Linked DNA regions of Mus musculus: all the other regions are reported to be linked to region 2. The links are microRNA targets in miRTarBase. Many come from high-throughput screens and were not tested one by one. Region 2 holds a microRNA gene; each other region holds the end of a gene's coding sequence.
Evidence for each region. Region 2 holds the annotated microRNA mmu-miR-881-3p (AACUGUGUCUUUUCUGAAUAGA, at 1,203-1,224, shown strand). A microRNA usually pairs through its seed, bases 2 to 8, with sites in the 3' UTR of a target mRNA and lowers its output. Matches are read on the target gene's strand: a 7mer-m8 pairs with bases 2 to 8, a 7mer-A1 pairs with bases 2 to 7 and ends in A, and an 8mer does both.

Region 1: miRTarBase lists Stxbp5 as a target of mmu-miR-881-3p. Seed matches in the 3' UTR shown: 7mer-m8 at 1,773-1,779.
Region 3: the mRNA of Prkci is a reported target of mmu-miR-881-3p. Seed matches in the 3' UTR shown: 7mer-m8 at 1,488-1,494.

The regions. Positions count from the first base shown.
Region 1 is chr10:9,758,300-9,761,563 of GRCm38, forward strand. It overlaps Stxbp5 (syntaxin binding protein 5 (tomosyn)), which reads right to left. Exons shown (of 26, transcript NM_001081344.2): 26 at 1-2,655. The coding sequence ends at 2,614. Among named protein-coding and RNA genes, the nearest start is that of Gm31471, 61 kb to the left of the region's middle.
Region 2 is chrX:66,799,914-66,803,177 of GRCm38, reverse strand. It overlaps Mir881 (microRNA 881), which reads left to right and starts at 1,157; the gene lies at 1,157-1,234. Mir880 (microRNA 880) reads left to right here and starts at 2,571; the gene lies at 2,571-2,648. Mir878 (microRNA 878) reads left to right here and starts at 1,593; the gene lies at 1,593-1,670.
Region 3 is chr3:31,049,509-31,052,772 of GRCm38, reverse strand. Prkci (protein kinase C, iota) reads right to left here. Exons shown (of 18, transcript NM_008857.3): 18 at 33-2,583. The coding sequence ends at 2,496. Among named protein-coding and RNA genes, the nearest start is that of Gm33641, 8.4 kb to the left of the region's middle.

The DNA of each region.
Region 1 (3,264 bases), not on the chromosome of region 2:
GATACTTCAAATAACAACATTCTAAGCAAACAGGGACTGATTTTAGTTTGCAAAATGAAACAAGTTTGTTATGTGGTACATAGAGACAATCTCTTCCCATTAATAAAATTAACTGAAGAATACTTGAATTTCAGAATCAAAGACAAATGAGTTTACAGAGAAGACACACACGTACTCACACACTCTTTTATGTTTTTGATATTTTAGTTTTTGACCTTTTGTTGTTATTGTTAAAGTTCCTGAAACTTTGGCTTGCTGGTGGCTACTGCTTTTTGCATCAAAAAGACAGGAGTGGGTTGGGAGGAGGCAGGCCATTTCAGACCAGTCCATGCCCTGGGCCAGTTATCACTGGGAACTGTCTTATTTACATAGTCATGTGCAGCCCTGGGAAGCTCATTTTCTCTACTTAAAAATACTTTGTACTTTCTAGTACTGGTCTCTTAGCCTGTTGTGCACAATATGTAGATCAATTAAAATAAAGAACAAATAATTTAAAATGAATTAAAATGTTCTTATAAAAATCCAACTCCGGTAAACTTCTCTACTTCTCTATTAGTAAATAATCACAACTTTGACTCATCTATTTACAGCGGTTAAAATGACGGTAGAAAAGAACCTGATATGCAAACAACCCAACAAATTAAACAGCTGAGGCTCCACACAGAGTCAAGCAGTGTGTTAGGTACTTAGTACTTTTCAACTTTTTAAAACTCTCGACTATCGATATTCATAAAACTATACCTTTAAGAAAGGACCCAATTCTTCCAGTGAGGTACCATGGAACATGGGTTTAATGGACAATATATAATGCAAATTAAGCAATTTGTAAATTGCCGAATGTTCAGAGAACAGACATGAAACGAATGTTTTTTCACTTTCTACAGATTCAGAAATTTTAAAAAATGATTATAGTTTAAAAACATTTTTATCTTGATCAGTTCTCTTTATCACATATATTTAATCCTTACTATGCTATTTAAAGTAAACTTTGATGTAAACTTTGATATCCAGTAGTGCACATTATAAAATGTAAACAAAAGAATTATTAATGAAAGAGACAGGGGCAAGCGGCAGGCTGAGAAGTGAGGATGACCTACAGGGACTTAACTTCTCACACAGAGCAGGAAAAAGCCCGAGTCGCAGGAATCTGTGCCCTGCCTGCACGTAAGGACAGTGACCCAGTACAGACGTCCACAGGAGACAGTGTGTGAAGTTCACACCCCCACTCCCCTTCCCTTCCCGGCTTCCTTTGTGGCTTTAGCAATCACAGCCCCTGACTGCAGTACAGGCTGCATCCTCTCTAGGCTGTCATGCTACTGCAAGAACCAATCACTCAGTGTCTGCTGCCCTCCAATGCACACCACTCTTGGTTACAGAAAAAACTTCATGACTGACTGCTGTCAACATTTCCTTTTTGCTTTTAGTATGTCAAAGGGATATGTACAGGAGCGTGATGTTTTCTACGGGAGATATTTTGTAGCTCATCAGACTAGACTCTTGGATAACTGGACAAGAGAGCCCTGCAGCTCTCCATGCGGCAGCAGTGTGTGCACTGAGATTAAACTGGCTCATCACCTGAGTGTACTGGAACTGTGAGCGAATGGAGGGCAGTTTTAAAAGGGAGCTGAGCACTTTACTGAAATGATAAAACACTGCTGTTTTAGCAATTTTAATTAAATAATGCAAGGGTACATTTGGTTAAACATTTTATAAAATTTCAAGCAAAATTAAAAACTTAGCCAATTTCGACTTTTCTACAAATTTAACCAGTAACTGTGTTGGTCAGGTCTACTTTTAGCTGAACTGATGTGAACAGGACACAGGACAGGGACGGATTCTCCTCACCACAATGCAGGTTCTCTCACTCTTCCACTCTGCATGGCTACTACATGGAAACTCCCCGAAGATGAGCGACTCAGCTATGCGCCACACTTTTCCATGAAAAGTGACACATCACCTTGTTTTGCTTTGGAAAACATAGGAACTGAACACAGTATGTGATGATGAGAGTAGAAGAGGATCCCGCACGCACACGAGCTGTGTGTGTGTGCTCTGATTACTGAAAGCCCACCATTCGGCAGAGTCTAGCGAGAAGGGACAGCTTGCTGCTTTTTCACTAAGACTGATAAGCAGTCTGTTTGAGAGAGGGTGAGTGCAGACAGCTGCTCACAATGCAGTCCAGATACAAAGTGACCTTTGTGGACTTACAACTTCTGGTTTATTGCCTCTCCCCACGTCGGATCAAACACTGATGGCAGATACAACGGCACAAAGTCTTTTGGCATATGAAAGTTTAATACAGGAATGATCCACAGAATAGTCCTCCAGGACTTGTCAACATCTTCTGGATGTTCATCTGTCAGCGTGACCCCACTCAGTTCTCCGTTCGTCAATGCACAGCCAGCACACACTCTATGCTCCGGTTTGCACGCATGGGGAGTCTTCTCAGTTAAAGCCGTGTGACTGAGGTAAAACAGTGCATGATTGTGCTGGGAAAGAAGTTCTCAGCAAAGTGCGTCCCTTTTACGTTATCTTCCCCAAATACATCAGTGATATCAACAAGGAAACTTCTTTTTCCTTCTGGTTGAAGCTGGACTTACTGAGTTCTAGTTGTCAGAACTGGTACCACTTCTTATCTTTGTATTTCAGCATCATCTAAAAGAGGCAAAAAACCAAAACCATCAAGAAAACTATGTTTTCAAAATTCCAAAAACTATTTATATCTGCTGTCTATAAAGCATACCATTCTGGAGCATTCTGAATTAACATTATACCTTGCTTACTTCACTTTATTTAAAGTAGCATGAATTGTTCTATTTAGTTAAAAACGGCTATATTCATCAAAAAATTATTAGAAGGTGCTCAAGTTTCTGATACACACTGTAATTTCTATTTCATATGTGACAAAGTTTAGTGCCTTAACAAATAACTTAGGAATAAGGCATTTGCCAGGTTTTTAGTTAGAACTAAAAGTAATGTTTTGAAGCTAGAGAAAGGAAGGCCAGAAAAGCCACTGCATCTCAGGTTTACTGAGCCCTTGCTGTAAGCCAGACACCAATGTTCCTCACTGCACTTCAACTGCTCTGTACAAGCCTTGGGTCTGCATCATCTCCTCCTCAGTTTATAATAAACCCCGAGGCTTCTGGATTTTTCACAAGGTTGACAGAATGGTGAATCTAGGTTCGGGCCTGGCAATCTGAATTCCAGAGTCCATGAACACACCTCAATGCCCCATCCTCAGACTCTCCGGTGTGACGAAGCCTA
Region 2 (3,264 bases):
ACTTGAATGCAAAAATATTTTTGTTTCCGGATTATCTTGTATCTTCCTACTCTGAATGATGTTCTCCAGTCAGCTAATTGTTCTAGGAGCATATTCAGTGATAAACCTAGAAGTATGTTTCCTAGTTTATCCCATGCTCCTTAAAGTTTAAAATCAGAATAACTTATTCATTATACATTAATGTTCTTGTTTGTATGGGAGCAAAGTGTTGTTCCAGATTGAGTAAAATGCAACCAACTCTTTTAAGAGCAAGCTTCACCAAGTGTATTACTTTATTAAACTTCTGGATATTGACCTTTGGATAGCTCCTAATTTCTTTGGCTGGTCTTTAATAATCTTAAGTAGTCCTGTGATATTTCTAGTTCATAGGGTTTATTAATGATGACTTTATTTCTATTCTTTGTTCAGTTGACTCACATGTATTAGACAACATAAAAATACTTTACTTATAAAAATTGGAAATGAAATAAACATGCATTATTGGTCATTCGATTCAACGAAGTAAGTAACAATATAGGATCAAAGGCTTTCATTTGTTATGCATGATGAATGACCATATCGTAAGCACAATTAAATATGTTAGGAATAAATTAATTCAGGGTTCAGGAGTCACACAGGACTGATAAATGTTCTAGTGATATAATAATAACAAGAATCATCACCTTCAAATACAGCAAAGTTGTTCTCTTTGCAGTGCCTATATGTCAGTGTCCTTTATGCATAGTTTAAGTCTTAGAAAATAGCATCCTATGTCATGGATGACCACAAATTGAACCCAGTCTATTCAGAATCATCATCATGCAAACTTAATATAGTGGTATATTACAAGATAGAGGAAAGAGGCATTGTGATTATTTTGATTCCTATTCTTAATCATTAATTGTCTTAGATTATAAAAAAAAGGACAGGATTAAGTATATACCCTATAAAAAATAAAAATTAGTTAAAGATTATATTATTGATTCTCCAAAACATCTAGTTTGTAAGAATGTATGTCAGAAGGCCTGTGGTTGTCATAAATATGATTGGGAATGAGATTTTAGAATATGTGGTCACATTAACATTCATATTAACAATCTGAGTGTGGTATAATATGAAATATGCTGGTGTTTGGGACAGGCTGATGCTATTCCTCATACTCAATGAACAAATTGTGTGCAGTACAATATTCAGAGAGATAACAGTCACATCTTTTCTAAAGTAACTGTGTCTTTTCTGAATAGAGTAATGTTCACCAAAAACAGCCTTAGTGATATACTCACTGAAGATCACAGGAGGCACTGTATCATAACACATCCTCAAGATTGATACGGCGGTAACTTCAATCGTCATTGGGGATCATCTTAATATACAAAGATGCAATCTGTTTATTTTTCTGGATAGTATAACTATTCACTGAAAAGGAAAGTTAGTTACAGGACATGCTTTATGTAAAAGCGTGGTGAAGGAGAGTGATTAATTATTCTCAAAAGTAGATGGACAAATTATGTCAAAGGATAGTTATCATGTTTTTTTTTAATTTAGTCTCTGATAAAAGCTGAAGTGTATGATAGAGGCTTCTTATACAGCAAGTTAATGAAAAGAGTGTTGTGTGCAATGCTTTATCTAGTTGGATGTCAAGACACGTGAAACTTAAGTGCATGACACCACACTGGGTAGAGGAGGGCTCACAGTGTTCCTCATTTGTTGTGGGCTTGGGTGGTCACAGTGCTGATAAATGAATGCTGCTGTTAGTTTGGCTGCACAGAAATAGAACCATGCATATTGTGTTTCTAGGTGTATTTATATTGTTACCTTTACATAAGGAATGTTGTGTTAGTGTCAGAAAGAATCTCTTTAAGTCAGACAAGAAAAAATAAAGTACATTAACACAGTTCCCAGTACATGAATACATTTATAAAACCTCCACTCTTTATTTTGACAGTCATTTCCCTTAGAAGAAGGCAAGTAAAAGGATTTATGGTATGAGAAACACATACTAAAGGTGTTTGATAATATGATTTTAAGCCTAAATTACAGAAGAGTTCAAACATTGTGGTTTGATGACTATGTAATAAAATGGGCAGGAGATGAAGGAAGCTTTTGTGACAGTGTCTACTTAAATACAATTATGCTCATTTTTATATTAACATTGGTACTGATGAGATGAAGTCCTTATGACCATGGATTTTCTTAAAGGAAGGTTCAGCAAGTAACTCATATAATGGCCTCTGTATGTAACCAAGGTAACTTGAAGTTCCTATTTATAGAGGAATTTTTGATATCTGATGGCTTAAATTCTCTTTAACATTCTTTGGACAGTCTGTTCTTAATCTTATGAACCTCATGTTAAATAATGTAAAGAAAGGTGCTAACATAAGGTACTTTTATTAGTGCATACATGTATAAAGTTAAATACTATAGATCATAGAATATGAAGAGTTGTGAAAGATAAAGTGCAGTATAGTCCTTTTAAACCTATGAATAAATAAGGTATTGTTGATGTATCTAACTATATTTATATAATTGCTGGAATATACTGAAGATTGTGGGATCAAGCTGAGACACAGGACATCACTGAACAAACTGTGTGCACTGCAATACTCAGATTGATATGAGTCACTTCCTATTGCATGTTACTCCATCCTCTCTGAGTAGAGTAAGGCACACCAATCACCAGTTTTGGTACCTGTAAATGTCTCATGTATGGATATGGTGAGGTTGATACATGCATGCATATTAGATGTGTTTTCCAGTCTTCAGCTTCAATGTATTACACTTCACCTTAGATAGCTTGGATGAGTGAACAGACTACAGAAGGATAAAAAATGATCTTTTTGGGAAATACTACGGTTCAGAGAAAATGGCAGTCAGCTAACTTTCATGCTAGTGAAAACCATTCTTCTGAAGCTGGAGGAATGTTAAAAAGATAGGTTCTTGATGGAATCCATGATGATGCATGAACAAATTAGACTAGCATTTAGTTATCATGTGAGTTGGTAACTTGATGCAAGCTAAAGATAAAAAGGGGATTGTAGAGGCTAGATTTCAACATTTCAACATTTACATATAATGTATGCTGCTTTAGCTAATTTTCTGTGCACCCTGGGAAACATAAAAGATGATATCCCATATTGGGTAAGGCAATATTTAATGAAGATTTCATTTGTGTACTCACCTTATGAATATATACAAGTATGTAAGCATAAAAGTGCAAAACATTTAGTTTATTCTTCATATGAATTAATAAAATGAATTTAATTTTACAGATACAGTGTTGGCAAT
Region 3 (3,264 bases), not on the chromosome of region 2:
ATTTGTTTTTAAGTTGAAAATGGTCCACTCCTCATAGGTATTAAACATTTTATTTAAAGATTTTAATGTAAAAAAAATTATACAAATACAGATTACATTATAGTGAACAAGGCAGTGTTCTACATGATAAAAATTAAAACAATTTTCTAAATAAGTACTGGCAACAGGGACACAGATAACTAGACACCCATCCAGCTGCATGTGATAAACCGATCTGATCACAAGCTTATGCAACATAAGTGGTGTCTAAGACACCAAGCGCCCATCCCTCTGCCTGTCTCCCCGGAGACTCTGAGAGAAGGAGGCTTCCACCACATACAGAGAGTTTGCATGGCACTTAAGGACTGAAAACTAGAACTGAATTAAAATCATCTGTAATAATTCTGTATAAAACACACATAGTAAGTCTTATTAGTTAACAACAATAAGAAAAAAAAAAGATTTAAAAACAAAGACCACCATTAATTATGGTTAAAACCTTATCACAGAAAACTGTTCATCATTTAAATGTTATTGGCAGAAAATGTACAGGTTTTGTTGTGGGTGAGGGTAGGGAAGACATACAACTTGAATTTACTCATCTAAGTTTGTTGACAAATGCATGATAATTCACTGGTTATCCTTTCTTAAAATGTTTTTCACAAAAAAACACAGACTCACACTCCAATAAGAAATATGGCCACAAGAAAAAGAATAACCTGAAGAAAAAGTTTCTCAAAATGGAATACAAAGCCCCAAAGAGTCCCAGGCAGGCTGGACACTGTGCACTTCAACAGCTCTCAGTCTAAAATGCCCCAAGGGAGAGCACCACTTAGGTCACAGCATACACACCCCCGAGCTCCTAGCAGCTTAGGGCGTGAATGCTGCCTTTAGATTAAGACAGCTGTTCCAGGTCTTAGGGGAAACACACACTTCAACATGAAATGTGTCAGCGCACGCACTGCACTTATTGGTCTGCTCCCTCGCATTTATGTCCTGCAGGGGAGGGCTGCGCGCGCCATGGCCACCAGCCCGTGGGCTGCAGGCATCATCAGGTCTTCAGGTTTTGGCAAGTGGCCTCGATGGCCCCTTGTTGGCTTTATCAATGGGGGTTCTCACTGCTCTCTGTCTTACATTACTTGAAAATGCATGACACAAACTTGACACAACTCACACTTCTAATGAAACGTAGCATTCTCCAAGTGATTTTCAAATGCCTACAGGTTTTAAATCATCACAAGCTCAGCACTGCGCGGCGTTCCTAAAGTTAAATTTACTGATTTGACAACTGTAGCTTATTTAGACGATCATTTTAAAGTCCTTTATATAAAAATATTTAAAATAAACAGCAGAATGGTGCTTAAAACGGTACTTCTTTAAATAAGAGATTGCTAAATACTACTTACTGTTAATAAAAATAGTGTAGAGAACTGAGGAACCCTGCCCTGAAATGGATTTCACTCTGTATCACATGTTAGCTATGACATAGGAGCTCAGGAAGAGCTGGAACTGTGTGTGTGTGTGTGTGTTACATAGTTATCCGTGGTCATCATCATTGGTCTTGAATTTCACCGCAGACTCCACGAAAGGTCAAAGTACAGATAATGTACTCTGGAGAAGGAACCAAAAGTAGTTAAGACATTCTACTCAGAAGATAATTTATTTTCCCATATACTAAATAATAATAAAAATATATTCACTCCGCTTCCCCTGAATAAACGGAATGCTTTTCTAAGCTGGCTAAGAAGTGAGAGCCTCCTCATTATTTACATCAAATCTTAAACACCAACTGTAGGATTTACTCTACAGTAAGAAAGAAAATGCTACAATCGTTCTTTCTGTAGCTACTTTAGACGTCTACTTTTTCCTGTATGTGAGCAGCTGCCACTCTCGAATCCTGCCTCTGAACACACATCAGCATGCTAGTTTTCACTGAAAAGGCAAGCTCAGAAGCTAACCCCTTAGTGTAAAAATAATTTTAAAAAATTAAAAACAAATAAATAAATCACTGTGCCAGTTTTTGAAACACAGCTAATAATTTAGAACCCAATTCATAATTATTAATTACCCAAAGTAATGAGAAGATTTATTTATAGGAGGAAATCTTAAACTGAGGGACCTCGGCAACCAGTAACACTAGCAGATGCACTACTCTGCATGGCCCTCCACTGCGCAATTAAGCCTTCAATGACTTAACACAAAGTGACAACAACTGTGGGAGACTGATGATGTCATCCCGTCGAGTGTCACAACGCAGCAGAGGCTTTCTTTGACAAGCTGTGTTGTTTCCTTTACACAAAGACCGTCCTTCCTCATTAGGAGTGTCTGGAGAGCAAGCATAAGCAGGGTCGACATGATTGTCAGGAAGCTAGCTTCTGTTTCTTAGTTCTATTTATCTGTATGATTCCTAGTCTCCAACAGGATACCGAGAGCGACTTCTGCAGGGGCAACATAAAATGCTAACTGTGAGCAGGCTGACGGGTGGATATCCATGCACTGAATGGCGGCAAGCAGAATCAGACACACTCTTCTGCAGACATCAAGAGGGGGTTGATATACTCAAAACCTTCAAATTCAGACTGATCAATCTTCCTCACAATGTCACTGTTGAAAGAAAAACACAAATATTTATCATAATCAAGATATCTTCATCTTTCAAACTGAAATACAACTGAAAACATAAGGCTAAATGACATTACTGTGGAAAAATGAGTTCTTAATCACAAAGTGGGTTCTAGAAGAATCAGGAAAAACAATAGCCTCACAAGAAGACTAAGAGCCCTACAAGCAACCAACCTTATAACCGAGAGGGTCCAGAATCAGACTGAGGGTTTTTAAAAGGCAGAAATGCAAAGCACAGAGCTACAGACAGCATGGCCCCTCATGCAGGAAAGTCTTAAGAGAAAGCAGTTATCTGATAAATTGTGTGTGTGTACACGTGTGCACACGCACATATATATGCAAGTACATCTGTGTACACACACTTGTAGAGTCTTCCTTGATCACTCTCCACCTCACTCGAGGGTACCGAACTCCATCGCATCCCGAGTACTGGCATTACAGGCATGCACCATCACACGTGGCTTTACACAGCTGCTGGAGATCTGAGCTCAGGTCCTCATGCTTACATGGCAAGCATCTGCCCATCTCCCAAACCCCACTGTCTGCTAAATCTCATACAGTGTGAGCTAACCACACCTATACCGGGAGGGTGACATTTAGCTGCAGAAATCAAGGAAATCAGCATTCATTATAGAAGTGGAATTTGAAAGACTGTTAGAAATG